Linked DNA regions of Struthio camelus. The protein of the gene in region 1 purifies or fractionates together with the protein of each later gene. This does not show direct contact. Links are inferred from orthologs where the notes say so. Each region holds a gene or a part of one and is shown on either strand. Other genes may lie near its edges.

Region 1 (9,952 bases):
AAGGGACTTTGGGGGGCAAAAAGGGGCTTTGGGGGACAGGAAGGGGTCTGGGGGGGAAGGAAGGGGCTTTGAGGGGGCAGAAAGGGGTCTGAGGGGGCAGGATGGGGCTCTGGGAGGCACAGAAAGGGGCTCTGGGGGGGCAGGATGGGGCTCGAGGGAGGACAGGAAGGGGATTTGGGGGGCAAAAAGGGGCTTTGGGGGGCAGGAAGGGGTCTGGGGTGGAGGAAGAGGTTCTAGGGGGGCAGGAATGGGTCTGGAGGAAAGGAAGGGGCTTTGAAGGCGCAGAAAGGGGCTCTAGGGAGCACAGGAAGGGGCTTTGGGGGGGCAGGAATGGGCTCTGGGGGGCACAGAAAGGGGCTTTAGGGGGGCAGGAGAGGGTTGAAGGAGGCAGGATGGGGCTCTGGGGGGCAGAAAGGGGTCTGGGGGGCAGGAAGGGGCTCTAGGGAGCACAGGAAGGGGATTTGGGGGGCAAAAGGGGGCTTTGGGGGGGCAGGAAGGGGTTGGAGGGGGCAGGATGGGGCTCTGTGGGGGCAGAAAGGGGTCTGGGGTGGAGGAAGAGGCTCTGGGGGAGGCAGGAAGGGGTCTGGAGGGGAAGGAAGGGGCTTTGGGGGGGCAGGATGGGACTCTGGGGGTGCAGAAAGGGGGTCTGAGGGGGCAGGATGGGTTTCGGGGGGGGGTAGAAGAGCCTGAAGTGGGGCAGGAAGGGGCTTTGGAGGGGCAGGAAGGGGTCTAAGGGAGGAGGAAGGGGCTTTAGGGGGGCATGAAGGGCTCTGGGGGACAGGAAAGGGGTTGGGGGGACAAGAGGGGGCTCTGGGGGGACAAGAGGGGGCTTTGGGGGGACAGGAAAGGGGTCTGGGGGGACAGGAAAGGGGTCTGGGGGGAGGAAGGGGCTCTGGGGGGACAAGAGGGGTCTCTGGGGGGGCAGGAAGGGGCTTTAGGGGGGCAGAAGAGCCTGAGGGGGGCAGAAAGGGGTCATTTGGGGGGGGGGATTGAGGGGGGAGGCAAAAGGGGGCCGGTGGCCGGAGGGAGCTGGGGGTGTGGGGAGCAGCCAGGATGTAGGAGAGGGGGGAGAAAACAAGGGGGGAGGTATTTTTGGGGGGAGATCGAGGGCAGCAGTCGCGGAGGGAGCCGGAGCCCGTCCGTCCGTCCGCCCGCAGGCGTCGGCAAGTCCTGCCTGCTGCTGCAGTTCACCGACAAGCGCTTCCAGCCCGTCCACGACCTGACCATCGGTGAGGATCCCGGCCGGAGCGGAGCCCGGCCCCGCGTTTCCCCCGGCTCCTCCGAGCCCGCGTCCGGCAGCCCCGCGCCCTCTCTTGCAGGCGTCGAGTTCGGGGCGCGCATGATCAGCGTCGAGAACAAGCAGATCAAGCTGCAGATCTGGGATACGGTGAGGCCGCGGGGGAGAAAGAAAAAACAGCAGCGTATCGGGACCATCCCTTTTTTTTAAAAAGAAAAAAACAAAAAACTCTCTCTCTCTCTCTATATATATAAATATCTCTCTTTTTCCAGGCTGGACAGGAGTCTTTCCGCTCGATCACGCGTTCCTACTACCGAGGAGCGGCCGGGGCGCTGCTGGTTTACGATATCACCAGGTATCGCCGCCGGCCGCGCTCGCGTCGGCCTCGACGTCGTCCCCCCTCCGCCGCCCCCCACCCCGAATCGCTCTTGGCCCCCGCGCAGGCGCGAGACCTTCAACCACTTGACGTCCTGGCTGGAAGACGCCCGCCAACACTCCAGCTCCAACATGGTCATCATGCTGATCGGGAACAAGAGGTTAAATAAAAACAACAAGAGCGAGTCCGGAGACTCGTCCCGGACTCTAAGAAGGGAGGTTTTTTTGTTTTTTCGTTTTTTTCACCCACCTCACCCCCCCTTTCTTTTCTTGCGTCCTGCCCCTCGGCCGAATCCGTCTCCTGCCTCGGCAGCGACCTGGAGTCGCGGCGGGACGTGCGGAAGGAGGAGGGCGAAGCCTTCGCCCGGGAGCACGGGCTGGTTTTCATGGAGACGTCGGCTAAGACGGCGGCCAACGTCGAAGAGGTGAAGGGATTATTTGGGGGGGGGGGCCGGCGGTTATATAAATACACATACGTATATATTTCTTTATGCTTTCCTGCTCGCCGGTGGGAAATCCCCTCTCAGAGCCACTGGGGGCAGCTGGTTTTCCCTCTTTTTTTTTTTTTTGTTTTTTCCTCCTTTTTTTTCCCCCTTTTTTTCCCCCCTCCTTTTTTTGCCTCTCGTTGGCAGGCGTTTATCGACACGGCCAAGGAGATCTACGGCAAGATCCAGCAGGGCCTGTTCGACGTGAGCAACGAGGTGAGCGCCCGGAGCCGGCGGGGCAGAGGGAAGCGGCGGCTCCCGCTCCCCTCTCTCCCCGATTCTCCTTTTCCAGGCCAACGGCATCAAAATCGGTCCCCAGCAACCCGCGGGGACGGCGCCTTCCTCCGCCGCCCGACACGGCGCTCCGGGCTCGGGAGACGGTTCCGGCTGCTGCTGAACGAATCGCCCCCTTCGTTTTGGGTTGGAGGGAAAAGGAGAGGAAAAAAGACGGCGGCTTCGAGCTGCGTTTCTCGCCGGGGCGGCTCCGCTGCCGCTTCAGCGCCGTCTCCGCTGCCTGTAAACGAGCTTTTTTTTTTTTTTTTTTTTTCTCTTTTTTTGATTTTTCAGTTTTCTTTTTTTAAACGCCGTGACCGCTCGCGGCGTCGTTCGACGCCGGCCGCCTCCGTAAATCCCCCGGCCCAGCCCCGACCACGATGTTTTCGGCACGGGAATTTCCCGCCCCGAACCTCCTCGTCGCCTCTTTCCCGCGAACGATCCCATTTCCCCCCCCAATTTCCCATCTGATTCAATCCCGTTTTCCCACCTGATTCAATCCCTTTCCTCCCCGTTTCCCCCATTTCCCACCCAATTCGATCCCATTTCCCCCCATTTTCCCACCTGATTTGATCCTGTTTCCTCCCTTTTCCCCATTTCCCACCCGACTCAATCCCATTTCCCCCCATTTTCCCCATTTCCCACCCGACTCGATCCTGGTTTCCTCCCCGTTTCCCCCCCATTTTCCCTCCCGATTTGAGCCCGTTTCCTCAGTTTTCCTCATTTTCCCCAGATTCAATCCTGTTTCCCCCCCTTTTTCCCACCCGATTCGGTCCCGTTTCCTCCCCCTCCACCGACACGTTTTCGCTCCGGTGAGGAAAACTACTCGCGGCCGAGCATCAGTTTTGGAGCTGGGGCAGGTTGTTTTGGGTTTTTTTTTTTTCCTCCTCCTCTTTTCACTCGCGCGACGTGCGGCGCTGGAGGGGAGGACGAGCGGTCGGGATAAAGCGCTTTGGCCAAAATCGCAGGGTTTCGCCTTCTTTCTCCTCGCCCCAAAAAACAGAAACACAGCAATTGTGCAGAAAAGCAAAAAAAAAAAAAAAAAAAATATATATATATATATATCTATACACATACACAAAATATACTTTTTTTTTTCTGTTAAACAATGCAGACGTTTCACGTTCACCTGTTCTGCCTTATAAACAGGAACATGAAGTATTTTAAAGGGCTTTTTCCTCATTTTCCTCAAGCATTTCCTTTTTCCGCTATAGGGAAAGATGAAAACTTACAGCAGCAGCAGGATTTTTGCTTTTTTTTGTTTTTCCCCCCATTTTCCTTAAAAAAAAAAACCCCAACAAACAGCTGCTTGAGTTTCAAAAAGGTGGTTTTGGGGTTTTTTTTCCCCCTCTCCCGTCATGAATTTGCGGGGAAACGGTTTTGCCGGGGAAAAGCCGCTTCGGGGACGCCCGAGTTAGGAAAACACCAAAAAGCGGCTGGCGGGGCAGGGTGCTAATTTATCATTTTTTTTACCTCTTTTTTCCCTTATATTTTATTAAATACGAAAACATGCTTTGTTGAGGGCGGAAATGAGCTTTTGGGGGCTCGTTTCGGGCTTTTAAGGGGTTTAGCCGCCTTCGGGCGTCTATTTTACAGCTTTTTATTAAAATAAGAGCCCAAGGTGGGGGGGGGGAGGCACTTTTGAGCTTATTTTCCAGAAAAAAACAAGCTTTTTGAGCTTGTTTTCCGCTTGTTATTTCATTTCCCCCCCACATTATTATTTTGTTTTAAAAGTGGAAATAAGCCGAAGCAGCTCCGTTTGGGGACGGGAGGGGGGGAGGAGGCCGCGGCAGCGCGGAAACGTCGATTTGGGGCGTTTTACCCCTAAAAACAATAAAAACAGCGAGCCGGTAGTGCGGGGAGGGGGGGGGCGCGGAGGGTTTAACGGTTTTTATTTTTAACGCAAAAGGGATGATTTAAAAAAAAAAAAAAAGCCGTTTGTAGGCGGCGACGGAGGGGGAAGCGGGCGGGGGGGGGGGAGCGTCGCCATGGCGGGCAGGGGGTTAAGGGCCGCCGCAAGATGGCGGCGGCGGCGGCGCTTAGGTGCCCGCGGCGCTGCCTGACGGGAGGCGCCGCCTCACGCCGCCCCCTTCCGCCTCGCCGGGCAGCCAGCGCAAGGAAGGCGGCGGCGGCGCCGCAGCGCCGCACACCCGCCGCGGTAAAACACATATATATATATATTTATTTATTTATACTAATTAAAAGGCGGGGAGGGCGGAGTGGGGGGGGGAATGAGCGCAGGCGGCGGCGGCGGGGGGGGGCGCGTCAGGCAGCGCGGCGGCAGCCCCCTCCCCCCCTCAAGCCCCGCGCTAGGCCCCCTCCGCGGCGACTTCCGGGAAGCGGCGCAACCTACCCTGCTGCCGAGGCCACGCCCCCTTCCTTCCTCCCCCCCCTTTTCTCCTCAGCGCTGTCTGTATAAGGGGAGGGGGGCGTGGCCTAGCGCGGGGCGGCGGCCAATAGGGCGGCGGCGCTGGGGAAGGCGGGCGGGGGGGGGGAGCAGCAGGTTGCGTTGCGCCGCGCCCGCGCGGCCGCCTTGTTCTCGCGCTGCCCTGACGGGAGGAGGAGGAGGAGGAGGAGGGGGAGGGGGGGGAGGGAGGCAGCGCCGCGCGCAGGGTGAGGCCACTCGCGGGGCGGGGGGGGGGGGAAAAGAAGAGACGCCCCCCGCCCCCCCCTCCCCGCCGCCACCAGGTAAGACCGACCCCCTCCCCCCCGCCCCCCCCCACCACCACCCCCCCAAAAAAAAACAAAAAAAAAAAACCAAAAAAACCCACCCCCAAAAAGCTATTTTATTTTCCGGTCGGCATAGCGACGCGGCGGTAGGGGGAGGGTATTATGGGATGGCGCCGGCGGAGGTTTTGTCTCTTCCTTCCCGCCTCCCCCCCCCCCCCCCAGCTAGGCGGGATGGTTCAGCCCAGCCCGCTCCCAGCCGCCTATGTGCGGGCGGGGGGAGGGAGGTGGGGCGCGTCCATGTCGCGGCGGCGGCGGGGGGGGCCGTCGCGGAAGGACGGTAGGGCCCCGCGCGCGGGGGGGGGCGGGGGGCACGTGGGCGCGACCGCGCGGCTCCCGTAGCGCGGGGGGGGCGGGAAGGCGGCGGCGGCGGCGGCGGCGGCGGCGGCGGGGGGGGGGACGAGGCGGAAGCGACCCCGTGACTGGGCGGCCCCAGTGCTCCCAGTTCCGTCTTACTGGGAGGCCCGGTGGCCCCAGTTCCCCCTGTAACTGGCCCCCCCAGTGCTCCCAGTTGTTTGTTACTGGGAGGCCCGGTGGCCCCAGTTCCCCCTGTAACTGGGTCCCCCAGTGCTCCCAGTTGCTTGTTACTGGGAGGCCCGGTGGCCCCAGTTCCCCCTGTAACTGGCCCCCCCAGTGCTCCCAGTTCATTATTAGTAGGAGGCCCAGTGCCCCAGTTCCCCCTGTAACCGGGTCCCCCAGTGCTCCCAGTTGCTTGTTACTGGGAGGCCCGGTGGCCCCAGTTCCCCCTGTAACTGGGTCCCCCAGTGCTCCCAGTTCATTATTAGTAGGAGGCCTGGTGGCCCCAGTTCCCCTGCCACTGGGGTCCCCAGTGGCCCCAGTTCCCCCTGTAACTGGGCCCCCCAGTGCTCCCAGTTGCATCTTACTGGGAGGCCCAATGGCCCCAGTTCCCCCTGTAACTGGCCCCCACCAGTAGCCCCAGTTCATTATTAGTAGGAGGCCCAGTGCCCCCAGTTCCCCCTGTAACTGGGGCCCCCAGTGCTCCCAGTTGCTTATTACTGGGAGGCCTGGTGGCCCCCCAGTGCCCCCTGTAACTGGGGTCCCCAGTGGCCCCAGTTCTTTCTGTAACTGGGGTCCCCAGTAGCCCCAGTTCCCCTGTGACTGGCCCCCCCCAGTGCTCCCAATTGCGTCTTACTGGGAGGCCCAGTGCCCCCAGTTCCCCTGCAACTGGGAGTCCCAGTTCCCCTGCCACTGAGGCCCCCAGTGCCCCCAGTTCCCCCTGTAACTGGGTCCCCAGTGCTCCCAGTTCATTATTAGTAGGAGACCTAGTGCCTCCAGTTTTCCTTGTAACTGGGGCCCCCAGTGCTCCCAGTTGCTTATTACTGGGAGGCCCGGTGGCCCCCCAGTGCCCCCTGTAACTGGGGTCCCCAGTAGCCCCAGTTCCCCTGTGACTGGGCCCCCCTAGTGCTCCCAGTTGCGTCTTACTGGGAGGCCCAGTGCCCCAGTTCCCCTGCAACTGGGAATCCCAGTTCCCTTGCGAGTGGGCCCCCAGTGCCCCCAGTTCATTATTAGTAGGAAGCCCAGTAGTCCCAGTTCCCCTGAAACTGGAGCCCCAGTGCCCCCAGTTCCCTGTGACTGGGAGGCCCAGTGCCCCCAGTCCCTCTGTGACTGGGAGGCCCAGTGCTGCCCAGTCCCTTGTTACTGGGAGGCCCAGTATCCCCCAGTTCCTTATTACTGGGCGGCCCAGTGCCCCCAGTCCCCCTGATACTGGGCACCCCAGTGCCCCCAGTTTCCCTGCAACTGGGCACCCCGCCCCCTTGCGACTGGGCACCCCAGTCCCCCCAGTCCCCCTGATACTGGGCACCCTAATTCTCCCAGTTCCCTTCTTACTGGGCACCCCATTGCCCCCCGCTCCTTTCTTACTGGGCACCCCAGTGCCCCTGATACTGGGCACCCAGTGCCCCCAGTTCCCCCTCTTACTGGGCACCCCAGCACCTCCCATTCCCCGATTAATGGGCGTTCTCCCTCTAGCCCGCCCCCCCCATGACTGGCCACCCCAGGGCCCCCGTGCCTGCCCTCCCAGTGCTCCCAGTGCCCCCGTGCCTGGCCCTCCCAGTGCTCCCAGCACCCCCCCCCATGATGGATTTTCGCTCCGGCGTCGCCTCGCCCTGAGTCACCGCCGAGCCGGGCAGCTCCCGTGACGCCCTGCGTCGCTCCGGGCCCCGTTTTCGGGGGGGGGGGGAGGCGGTGCGGATGCCCGGCTGCCAGGCGGTGTGTTTTTTTGGGGGGGGGGGGAAGGAAGCAGCAGCCGGTAACCGGACCCGGCTCCGCCTGGGCCCCCCCCCCCCCGCCCCGGGGAGGAAGCGGCGGCTGCAGGACGGGGAGGGGGGTGCGCGGGAGCCGGGCGGCGAGGGGGATCGGGGGGGGGGTCTGGGGGGGGTTGCAGGGGGTCTGGGAGGGGATTGCATGGAGCTGGGGGGGGGGTTGCAGGGGTCTGGGGGGGCAGGAAGGGATCTGGGGGGGTTGCAGGGGTCTGGGGGGGATTGCATGGAGCTAAGGGGGGTTGCAGGAGTCTTGGGGGGTGTTGCGGGGGTCTGGGGGGGTTGCAGGGGGTCTAGGAGGGGATTGCATGGAGCTGGGGGGTTGCAGGGGGTCTGGGGGGGTTGCAGGGGGTCTGGGGGGGATTGCATGGAGCTGGGGGGTTGCAGGGGGTCTAGGAGGGGATTGCATGGAGCTGGGGGGGTTGCAGGGGGTCTGGGGGGGTTGCAGGGGGTCTAGAGAGGGATTGCATGGAGCTGGGGGGTTTGCAGGGGGTCTAGGGGGGCAGGAGGGGATCTGGGGGGGTTGCAGGGGGTCTGGGGAGGATTGCAGAGGGTCTGGGGGGATTGCATGGGGTCTGGGGGGCAGGAGGGGACTGCAGGGGGTCTGGGGGGGATTGCAGGGGTCTGGGGGGGTTGCATGGAGCTGGGGGGATTGCAGGGGGTCTAGGGGGGCAGGAGGGGATCTGGGGGGGTTGCAGGGGGTCTGGGGGGGATTGCAGGGGTCTGGGGGGATTGCATGGGGTCTGGGGGACAGGAGGGGACTGCAGGGGGTCTGGGGGGGATTGCAGGGGTTTGGGGGTATTGCATGGTGTCTGGGGGGCAGCTGGGGGTCTGGGGGGGATTGCAGGGGTTCTGGGGGGATTGCAGGGGGTCTGGGGGGGTTGCAGGGATCTGGGGGGTTTGCAGGGGGTCTGGGGGGGTTGCAGGGGTTTGGGGGGGATTGCAGGGGGTCTGGGGGGAGTTGCAGGGGGTCTGGGGGGATTGCAGGGGGTCTGGGGGGCAGGAGGGGGTTGCAGGGGTCTGGGGGGGTTGCAGGGGGTCTGGGGAACAGGAAGGGGCTGTGCGGGGTCTGGGGGGTTTGCAGGGGGTCTGGGGGGATTGCAGGGGGTCTGGGGGGCAGGAGGGGGTCCGGGGGTAGGAGAGGGGGGTCTAGGGGGGTAGGAGGGGATTTGGGGGGGGTAGGAGGGATTGCAGGGGGTCTGGGGGGGCAGGAGGGGGTCGGGGTTGGGGTGAGGGCGGTGGGGGCACAGGACGGCGGCTGAACCGCCCGCGCTCTCCCCGCAGCCGGGACCGCCGGGCCGCCGGGCCGCCCCGGCGCCATGGCCGACCCCATCATGGACCTCTTCGACGACCCCAACCTCTTCGGCCTGGACGCCCTGACGGACGACGGCTTCGCCCCGGCCCCCCACGACCCCATCGAGGAGGCGCTGGGGTTGGCGGGGGCCTTGGAGGAGCCGCCGCCGCCTCCTCCTCTTCCTCCTCCTCTTCCTCCTCCGCCGCCGCCGCCGTCCGACGCCGCCCCGGCGGAGACGCCGCCGCCCGAGGAGACGCCGGCGGCCCCGGCGCCCGACGCCGCCCCGACGGACGCCCCCGCGCCGCCCGAGCAGGACGTGTTGAGCCAAGGCAACCCCTTCATGGGGGTGGCCGCCCCGGCGCCTTCCTCCTCCTCCTCCTCGCCCGCCGCTCTGCCCGCTCCCAAAATCGTCATCCTCAAAGCCCCGGCCGGGGGCTCGGCGGCCGGCGCTCACGTGGCGCAGCTCCAAGCGCCGGCCCAGCCGCTGGCGGCGGCGGCGGCCAACGGCGGCAAGGTGACCTTCGCCAAAGTGTTGACGGGTACGCCGCTCCGGCCCGGCGTCTCCATCGTTTCCGGCAACGCCGTGTTAGCCGGTAAAGTGACGCCGGCCGGGCCGGGCGCCGCCACCGTCCATCGTTTGGTCCAACCCGGCCGACCCGTGAAACAGCTGGTGCTGCAACCCGTGAAGCCGCCGGGCGCCGGGACGCCGCTGAAACCGGCCGTCACCCTCACGTCGGCTCCCGCCCAGGTGAGAGCGGCCGGCTGGGCCGTGGAGAAACATCTCCCGTAGCTTCGGTGGTGGTGGTGGTGGTGGTGGCATGGTAGTGGTGGTGGTGGTGACGTTGGCATGGCAGTGGTGGTGGTGGCGTTGGCATGATGGTGGCGGTGTTGGCGTTGGTGGTGGTGGCGTTGGCAGCGTTGGCTTTGTGGAAGTGGTGGTGGTGGTGGTGGTGGTGGCGTTGGTGAGGGTGGCAGTGACGAGGAGGTGGTGGTGGTGGTGGTGGTGAGGTGATGGCCGCGTTGGGGGTGGCGTTGGTGGTGGTAGTGCCGGCAGCGTGGTGGTGGTGGCTTTGATGGTGGTGGTGGTGGTGGCGGTGGTATGGAGGTGGTGGCAGTGGTATGGAGGTGGTGGTGGCGTTGGTGATGGTGGTGGCAGTGGTATGGAGGTGGTGGTGGCGTTGGTGATGGTGGTGGCAGTGGTATGGAGGTGGTGGTGGCGTTGGTGATGGTGGTGGCAGTGGTGTGGAGGTGGTGGTGGCGTTGGTGATGGTGGTGGCATTGG
Region 2 (9,531 bases), on another chromosome or scaffold:
CTTCTTTACTACATAAAAGAACGGTTGGAAATTTTCTTTCCTATTTGGACATATAAGTGCTCAACAGCCCTTTATTGCTGAGCTACTTGTCAAGGCAAACACTTTTTTTTTTAGCCATTACAGATTCCTCTCTGAAGTCCAAATGGCTATCAAGAACGACTACATTGAATGTATTAACTCCACACAATACATTTTCTAGAAGAAATTTCAGTTTACCTGTCAAGACACAAATGGATATTTTGTAACCCCGAGTTAGCAACATAAGTTGAAACACCTCCGAATTGTGGTCTTGGCAAGAAAAGACAGAAAAGCCTGTCGGGCCTTAAACGGGCATTGAGACTATATTTTTGAAAAATTGAAAAACATTTCAGAGAATATATAACAAGTAGATATCCAGACTAGTGCAGTCTTTTCTTGGACTTAGTAATTCGGATGAACATGGCGCTTAATCTGAGTCAAATTTCAACTGATATTATCATCAACTTTTTGTCTTCTGTTTCAGTTACCATAATTGGGAACAGCTAGCTAGGTTAGGAAGCAGAAAATACTAAGAAGTAAACAAACATACCCTCGGGTAAAACAACCTTGTAATACCAAATGCAAACCATATCGTATCTGATCCCTTAAAGAGGCAACTTGATTCCAAGAAAGAAAAAAAAAAAGTCTTCAGCTTAGAATAAAGATTAGAAACATACCAAGCTCATATTTAGTTATTAGTTTAGGACTACGATGTGACAGGTCATTTACCAATCTAGAAAATAACATGTTGAAGTAAGATGCAACCAATATTAAACGTCCAATTATCCAAGTAGTGAAACGCTTTATTAAAAACAGCTTTGGTCACTACAGCATAGGCCTAAAAAGTACACTCTTAGTTGTATAACTTCAGCAGTTTACCTGAGGTCTTTGTTTTGCCATCATCTATACCAAAAGCCAAAGATTCCATCATGTCAGCTTTTCTCTTGTGATATTCAAAAGGCTGCATCCTTCCTCTGTCAACTTCCCTTTCCATATTCTTTAGCAATTGCTGCTTATAGCCTCCAGAATTATCCAAGCCATATTGTCTCTGTTAGGGATGGAATGTTAATCATTAAGATTACGTTTTTTTAAATACACATTCATTAATGACTTAGAAAAGACATACACAATCAGTAGTGCGGAAAAATAGTAAGCAGTGAGATAAAAATCTCCCGATTCATGCGATTTTAATGCTGAAGGCCAAACTCCACTGCAGACCAGGATCATAAGTCTAGGAGAGCCATCCCCAGGAGAGCAGACACCTCCCTCTGCTCTCTCTTGGTCAGACAGCCATCGGCACAGAGGCAGTCAATGGCCAAGAGGTAGCAAGAGAGGGTGGTGAAGCTATTAGGGCTGTTAGGGGGGAGGGACAGGGACATCAGGAGCTAGCAGCGAGGATCTGGGGCCAAGTACGTACCAAAATATGCAATGGTGTCCAGGAAGAGGATAGACAGGATACTCAAGGACTCAAGTAACACAACTCAAGGCAGAGCAAGAGACACGCCAGGGCAGCACAGCATATGCATGGAGTCCTGCAGTGCACGGGCCTCCTCCTGGGCCAGCATCACTCATAGCAGTAGAGCCAAGCAGCTCAAGGCACGCATGCTCAGCACCAGTGCCAGGCTCAGGGTTGCTGAGGGTTTGCATCTGCCTGCAGCGCACTCCTGCATCACTGTCTCAGTACAGCCTGGCTGGCTGTGCAGATCTGACCCGGCACAGCTATCGTTATTTTCAAGAAACGAAACGTTACAGTTTCAAGGTACCTAGCCTCTAATTGCACAACTCTTCCAAATTGTATCATTTAGAAGTATTACTGCACCTGTAGCTTTTTAAATTCTTCTCTCTCTCGCCTCTCTTCTTCTGACCTTTGCTGTTTGTCTTCTTCAGTCTGGAGCCGCTGAGCAAGTTCTAGATCTCTTAAGTTTCCACCTACCCAGGAATAATATTTTACAAAGAGAAGACTTGCTCAGGAGGTTAACAATGCTTTGAATAACCATTTGTTTGATCTTTAAAAATTCTTCTGTAAGTAGACAAACATAAAAACACCTATGTATTAATTTTAGGAGATGCATCCCACGCGATATTGAGATATTAGCAAAGAATACTAGGTAACACCAACGACATTCAGTCTACCAGGACTCAGCTTTCTGATTTACACAAAGATTATGCAGGGTTATAAGGACAGTGATTTTGCCAATAACACATGTACCTCTACTACTAAGAAAACACCTTTTGTTTACTATGTTTCACTTGATTTGTCAGCAAGAAATCCTAATTTGCTGAGTATCACAGATAGCAATGATCCTAGAAGCTCGCAATCTCATAATGACGAGGTGACACAAACAAGCTTAGGGTTGGAGAACTGGACAGAAAACCCATAGGGGGGAAACTGCTAAGAAAAGCAAACTTATTTTGATTCTTTTCATTATCTCTATAACTAGGTAATCAGCACAACCATTTAGAGAAGAGAATTGGAAAAAAAAATTAGAAATTTTAATAAGCTGTTGCTTTTAAACTCATGTTACGCTAGAGTGTGCCAATCCAAGTTCCACATATGTAAATCTTCTATAGAGCTGGGGAAAAAAATGGTAATTTGTAAAATATTTTTCCCTCTAAGTTTTATTTTGCCCATGATAGAGCACATTTATTTAATAAACCTGCACAGACAGATACTTCTTTTAGCATGTGCAATTAAACAGAGCACTCAAGCATGTGATAGGACTTGCTATTCACTATGTTAATTACATTAGGGAGGCACAGTTTTCTTTTAAAATAAGGAAATATTTAGTTGAAATTTTGCCTTTGCCTAAGATTCTATACAGCAACAGACAGTTTAAAACACTCTCAAATACTATCAAGCTTACATCCTTTCACATACCTTCTGAAAAGCTATGTTCCTCTAAGTGTAAATCCACGTGTTCTTGGAGAATCTGAACATCTGTACAGGTAAGACTGCACATTGGACATTCATACAGCTGTTCGCCATTTTCTGTGTTTGAAAAAGAATTGCCATTTCATGCTTGATATAATTCTTTTTTCTTCTTCTTTTGCAAGAATCATCCCCTTCATTGATGTACATAGTCCATAATGCACAATGTACATAAATACACAGTAACGAATTTGGTACTATTAAATTCCCCACGGAGAGACAACAAAACACCTACAGCTCTCTTAACCTAGAGCAAAATATAATTAAGGATTCATACTTAAGAATTCATATTTAAATACCTGACAAGTTCATCGTAAGAGAGATTTTCTTTCTTTTTCCGAACAAGTTTTTCCCCTTTTAACCTACAGATCACTATTTGCTGTGATAATACTTGCACTTAGTCTGAAATACTAGATGTTTAATAAAAACATCTGTCCTGCTAATGGAGGAATGCTTGCTTATAATTCTTTAATGTTTGTGTGATAATACAGCAGCTGGTACACAACAAAAATAAAGTTAAAACGTCTTCTCATTCTTATTTTGTTGTTTTATCTGCATCTCCTGAAATAAATAGTCTGTCTGTAGTTTTAGTATTACTAAAGAGTATCACAGAATCTTAGAATAGTTTAGGTTGGACAGAACCTCTGGAGATGATCTAGACGAGCCCTCTGCTCATAGTATGGTCAAGCAGAACAGGTTAGGTTGCCCAGGACCACGTCCAGGTAAGTTTTGAATATCTCAAAGGACACCCCCTCATCAACCTCTCTGGACATCCTGTTCCAGTGTTTGACCACTCTCAAAATGTAAAAAAACCCAACCAACCACACAAACAAAAACAACAAAAGAACCCCACTTATGTGTAAATAAAACTTCCTGTATTTCAATTTGTCCGTATTGCCTGTTGGCCTACCACTGGGCACTACTGAGAAGAGCATGGCTCCACTTTTACTGCTCCCATGAAATATTTATACACACTGATGAGATTCTACCCCCGGCTAAGCCTTCTCTTCTCCAGGCTGAACAGTCCCAGCTCCCTCAGCCTCTCCTCCTACCAGAGATGCTCCAAGTCCCTTAATCTTTTTCGTAGCGCTTCACTGGACTCGCTCCAGCAGGTCCATGTCTCTCTTGCACTAGGGAGCCCAGCACTAGACAGAGCACTCCAGGTGCAGCCTCAACTGTACTGAGCTGAACAGACTCTTCAAGAGACTCTCCCTATCAGCTTCACTGTTTGCCTCCACGAGCGATCCTGGAGTACTCGAGCCAGTTCCTCTGCAAGAGGCCCTTGGGGAGCGCCCCCAAGGCCCTGCAGCCGCAACAGGGCGCTCAGTGCCTTAGACGGGGAATAAAACCGCCACAGCGCCCAAAGCGCGACTCTCGGCACCACCCCCGGCGTTTGCCCTCCGCACCTCACCGAGGCGGCCGCGACCAGCGCTAACCTCAGCACGGAGCCAAGCAGGACGCCGAGGCTCCCTGCTGGGCGCACGGCCCGGCCCGGCCCGCCGGGGGCCGCGGCAGGCCGCCCGCCGCCGCTCACCTGTTCCCGGGAGGCCCAGCAGGTGCCCGTGCCGCGCCCTCACGTGCGCCTCCAGCTCCCGGCCCGCCGCCGCCTCCCCGCAGAAAGGGCACTCAGGCGGCTCCGGGGCGGGCTCGGCGCAGCGGGCGCCCGGCGGCCCCGGCTCCGGGTGCGCCGCCTCGATGTGCCGGTGGAGCTCGTCGTAGCCCGGAGCGGCGGCACCGCAAAGCGGGCAGCGGGGCAGGCGCTCCAGGTGCGTGCGCCGCAGGTGCCGCCGCACCGCCGCCTCCGAGGGCAGCGCCTGCCCGCAGATATCGCACACCAGCATCGCGGCGGCGCCGCCGCCGCCGCCAACGGCCGCCAACCGCCCCAACGCGGAAATCGAAACACTCTCGACTTCCGCCCCACGGCTGCCCGAACCCGCCGCCGGCGGAACCACGTCACGCGCCTGCGCAGTGCCACAGCCAGTGAATTCTGGGAAGTGTCATTTTCTCGCTGGGGCTGCCCCAGGCGTTTCCTCCACCCACCACCCCTACCCCTCCCGGCCCGGCCCGGCCTGCCGCCGGCGCGCAGAGCCTGCTGGGAGCGGAGAGCCGCCCACCAGCCGGTGCGGAGCGCGGCGGGGCGGCGTCCGCCATCTTGAACTGCGAGTCGTCGCTGGGTGCTGCGCTGCGAGGAGGAGCGGAGCGGAGAGGGGTTATCTCGCCGGGGGGGACGGCGCCAGTGGTCGACGTGGGCGCTTTCCGTCTCCGCTTCAATGGGTAAGAGAGACGGAGCACCGAAAGCCGATGGGTAGAAGAAGGAGCTGTTCGCCGCTGGCGGGGAGCGGTCTGCTCTGCCTGGCCGGCCCGGCCCGGCCGGCGGCGGCGGCAGGGCGGGAGACTCGGTCCCCGCCGGTCGGCGCGGTCAGGGCCGGGGCGGAGTCCTGCCGTGCTGTTCCCTGCCGCCTCCCCCGCCGGTGGGCTGCTTCCTCCGGTCTCCGTGCCCCGTTGCCCGGGCGGTGGGGAGGGAGCCTTTTCCACTCCCTTTCAGAGGACGTGGGTGAAATGCGTCGTTGATCTGTCTCTCTGGCCGGCGAGGGGACTGGCGGTGTGGCACAGCCGAGCACCGGCTCTCGTCGTTTGGCGGCCCGTGCAGCCTCCCTCAGCTCTGCGGGACGGGGAAGCGGCGGCGATCCTGCACGGCCCGGTGCTTGGGGAGCCTGATGTGACAGGGAGAAAAGATCTGTTTCTCAGGCAGGTCTTAGTCTAGGCACAACAGGTGGGTGTGATACACAGTGTGGCTGGTGGAGGGATTTAGTGCTAAAGTGAGTACGGTTTAGCAGGGAAGTTCAAAATTTCTTGAATGTAGATGCAAAAGTTGTGAAGCATGAACAGATAGGGACTTCCAGTTTTTCCGACTGTATAACACCCATGAAAAATCTTTGTCGGCACGAGGGTATAATTTTGTTGGATTACTTTTAACCTAGCACTTCTGTTTGTTTATTGCTTGGCCTGACAGTTTTATTGGCACAACTGAATTGGCAGGACATGAATGGCTAGAGAGGTGAAGTGTTCTGGAACTAGTTAAGCCAGTCTTGTCCAAAAAATGCTCTTGTGAAATTGTACCTCGAAAGTCACAAGACAGTTACAGGAAAATTACTTCGGAAGGTGGCTCAGTTAGCCGTGGTCCAGAGATGGCAGTAGTTTACCAGGGCTCTCACCAGCCTAATGCGTTTGGGTGGAACAGGCTGCTCAGTCCTCGGAGTGTCTTGTTGGTGCTAACCTAAATCTGTGGACTGATATCCTCTCGTGGCTGGTGTTTGTTACTGAGCAGCCCTCGATACTGATATAACAAAGCCTCAGCATGAGAACGGCCTGCAGCTCAAGAACTGTAGTTCAAATATTCTTATGCCTTAGCTGTTCTTTTGTTGTGAAAGAATTCCAGACAAATCAGTTTGCTTAGAGTCTTGAATCGTATTTTTCACAATTAATTATTTGTCAGATGAAAGCTTCAGTTTCAGCTTTAAAAACAAGCACCTTGCTGTTAAACAAATTTTGTCAGTCAGTTACATTTGATCATTTCAGTGACAGAATCGTGCTGCGTCACTTTTATCTTTCCAGAACCAATATGCCAAAGTTGACAGGCAGATACTAATCTTCATTATACATCAGAAGAACTGATAATTAAAATGAGTCAATCACTTTGTTAGTTTAAAATGGAAAAGGATAGACCTATCTGGGTGCTATTGACCCTTAATTTGGTTTCTCTGCAGTGTTTTTGTTTTTCTATATATAGATGAGAGAAGAAAATGTAAGATAACTTTTAGATCCTTTATTATGTTTTTGAGGTAGGCATCTTAAAAAAGTGAAGAGACAGTACCGTATGATGTTAAATGAAGGAATAATTATTGCAAGTTTTCTTCTTGGATTTGTTTTTATTTTATTTTATTTTATTTTGATACACCTAATTCTTCCTTTTGAAGAGGAGGAAGTGAATTCCTGTACTTGCTGATAGAGTGGCAGACAATTATTCCCTTAAATTTTAGATCAAAATTTAGCAGTGTAGTGTTCTCGGTGTTTGTGTCTCGTAAGACAAGCAACTTAATTTTGAGTACTTTAAGCCATTTAATTAAGTGCCTGATCCCTGAGAGGAACTGTAGTTTAATCTGCAATTAAAAATGCATATCTAGGCAATGATTTTTCTCTAATTTCTATTTTGAAGATTTTTTTGAATGAACTAGGCATTGCTTACAACTGCAGGAATACATTTTGCTGCTATGGGTATTTTTGCAGTAAAAGAGATGGCAGGTTTGTCCTTTAAGGCTTGGCCTTTTGAGGTAATTTTTCTTTTTTTAATAGACAACATGGCAAGCCCAGGGAAAGATAACTTCAGAATGAAAAGCTACAAGAATAATGCGCTCAATCCCCAAGAAATGCGTAGGCGAAGGGAAGAGGAAGGAATCCAGCTTCGGAAACAAAAAAGGGAAGAGCAGGTAAGCCTCTCAATGAGATATTAACTGTTAAGGGTTTATGAAGTTATAGTCAGGTCGGTGAAGGGATTCGAGCAGGCTCCTGTGGAGTAGAATCCAGAGAACCAGGCTAAATATCCGCTTTCTGTGCGATCTTGGTGAGTGCCAGGCACCTTTCCGTAGGATCGTAAAACAAAGAAGTGAACAGAGGCCCTCTTAAGTCATTGGGGAATACCAATGAGAAATCCATATCTTAAGTTTAATCTCTACTCTAAGTTCAGACATATAAGAGCTGGGTGAAAGGAGGAGCTTAATTCAGATAAGGTTTCAACATTCTCTTCTAGAGTTTGGGCCGAAGTTGTACTGTTAAAAGTGAGAGGGTTATTTTGTCTTGGAACCCATGCCTCAAATTGCTCAAGAGCTTTTCATAAAGTAGGTTAGTACTGTGGCTTCCAAATGACAGTCCCTAAACTATTTTAAATAATATTTTCAGTTGTTGTCATTGAATTTTTAGTGATGAGAGTACATAGAGTATTGTGTAATTTTATGGCTGGCAGTAGTCCCTGTTCCCCAAATGTTTCAGAATTCTTTTCCAGGAAAGCAAGGAAAGGTTTGTTATTCTCCTTGGTTTCAAGTGGCTGACTCCTGTCTCCCACAACCTAGAGAGTGTCCCAGGCACTGATCTACAGCCTCCTCTGAGGTGGGAATGCTTACCCTTCTCCTGGGAAAGTGATGCTGGAAAATGAATTTAAATTAGTTGGGCCAGAGAGGTAAGAGTAAGAAGTAGTAAGGTAATGGAGCATTTACTTGTGAATGGGTTCACCTGAATGTTAGTATCTCCTGAAAGGTTTGTTTGTGTATTTTTCTAGTAAATTATTCTCAGATAAATTATAAGAATAGTAGGTGGTCCTTGTCTCATGCTGAGTGTCGTCCGACTGAGAATATTCTTGTGGTGTCTTTCTTCTTAATTTCTGGAATAGTATTTTCAGCTCCTCTCACACTGAGGGAACAAATTATACAAGAAAAAGATTGCTTTTGTGCCAGGTAAAGTTAGAACTGGTAGATGCACTGTGCTTGTAAACAGAGCAGTTAACAGGTTTCAACCAAGAGCTTCCACGCTCTTGCTGAGTGCTAGAAAGAATGGCTGATCTTACAAAAGAACAATATTGTCTCTCCTTCCATTTCTAGGTTTCAGTGGAATTGAATGCAATTGTTTTGTGTCCAGGATTATACCGAATTTGGGAGTTGTGCGTTGAACAAGAGAGAGCATGCGTTTTGTTTTAAGATCCTCTTTGACATGTGGGTAGAAGTAAATATGGAGTTGCTTAAGCAGTTTTGGCCATGTGCCATAGCAGAAATGTAGGTGTCTAGACAACTTTGAAGACAAAATCTTCAGGATTAAGTAGGCTGTTTCGTTATTATACTTAAGAGGTGAAATCCTAGACAGTGAATAGATTGAGATTTTAACATTTATTTTTAAAGATATTGTCATAGTATTCGTAGAATGGTTAATTATAATAGTTGTAAGTGTAGTACTGAATTGAAGATACAAATACAGGTTTGGTTTCTAGAAGCAAAACAGGCTAATGTGAATGTTCTGTTTGTATGCCAGGAAATGAAGAGGTACTTATTAAGCATACTCATTAAATACTACAGTTCAGTAGTATTAATTTTTTCAGTACAGTATGTGTTTAGAGTATAGGCAGTGCATAAAGCCAATGTTAAAGTGGTTTTGGATATCGTGAATGTTTCAGGTTACGTCTTTAGAAAATTCACCTTGAAGCTACGCTGTTTTTTCTCCATCTATATTAAAATAATGTTTCTGTTTTAATTTTTCTGCAACTGTATATTAAATGTGGTTACCATTTAATTATCTTGTAAAGAAAGTGCATAGATCTTAGACTTCCTGTGCTGAATGTTAAAGGGAGGTGCAGTATGCAGAAAAACGAGTGCTGCCTCTGCGTTGATGACTTTAGCTTATGAACTATGTAAGGAAGAAACAGTATTCCACAACCTACTTTTTTTTTAAAAAAAAGTAAACATTGAATTATGACTTGCTGAATTTTTAAACACTAAAAGCAAAAAGATCTGTATTTTGTTTTTCTTACATGTGAAAAATGC

The links.
Region 2: the proteins of CHD8 (region 1) and KPNA5 purify together in Homo sapiens (affinity purification with mass spectrometry; 3 studies listed by BioGRID and IntAct, with this or other methods). This does not show direct contact. The link is inferred for Struthio camelus from reciprocal best matches to the Homo sapiens genes CHD8 and KPNA5.

The regions. Positions count from the first base shown.
Region 1 is NC_090970.1:63,389-73,340, reverse strand, and holds the start of CHD8 (chromodomain-helicase-DNA-binding protein 8), read left to right. Parts: upstream 1-5,284; 5' UTR 5,285-5,337; coding exon 5,338-5,377; intron 5,378-8,660; coding exon 8,661-9,418; intron 9,419-9,952. Other genes in the region: RAB2B (ras-related protein Rab-2B), read left to right, coding at 1,158-1,229, 1,320-1,387, 1,510-1,592, 1,681-1,773, 1,926-2,841. UniProt on the Homo sapiens protein: ATP-dependent chromatin-remodeling factor, it slides nucleosomes along DNA; nucleosome sliding requires ATP. Acts as a transcription repressor by remodeling chromatin structure and recruiting histone H1 to target genes.
Region 2 is NC_090944.1:64,278,930-64,288,460, forward strand, and holds the start of KPNA5 (importin subunit alpha-6), read left to right. Parts: upstream 1-4,914; 5' UTR 4,915-5,217; coding exon 5,218-5,221; intron 5,222-5,492; exon of another isoform or gene 5,493-5,720; intron 5,721-7,300; coding exon 7,301-7,434; intron 7,435-8,598; exon of another isoform or gene 8,599-8,614; coding exon of another isoform or gene 8,615-8,709; intron 8,710-9,531. Other genes in the region: ZUP1 (zinc finger-containing ubiquitin peptidase 1), read right to left, coding at 898-1,066, 1,838-1,947, 2,897-3,007, 4,482-4,788. UniProt on the Homo sapiens protein: Functions in nuclear protein import as an adapter protein for nuclear receptor KPNB1. Binds specifically and directly to substrates containing either a simple or bipartite NLS motif.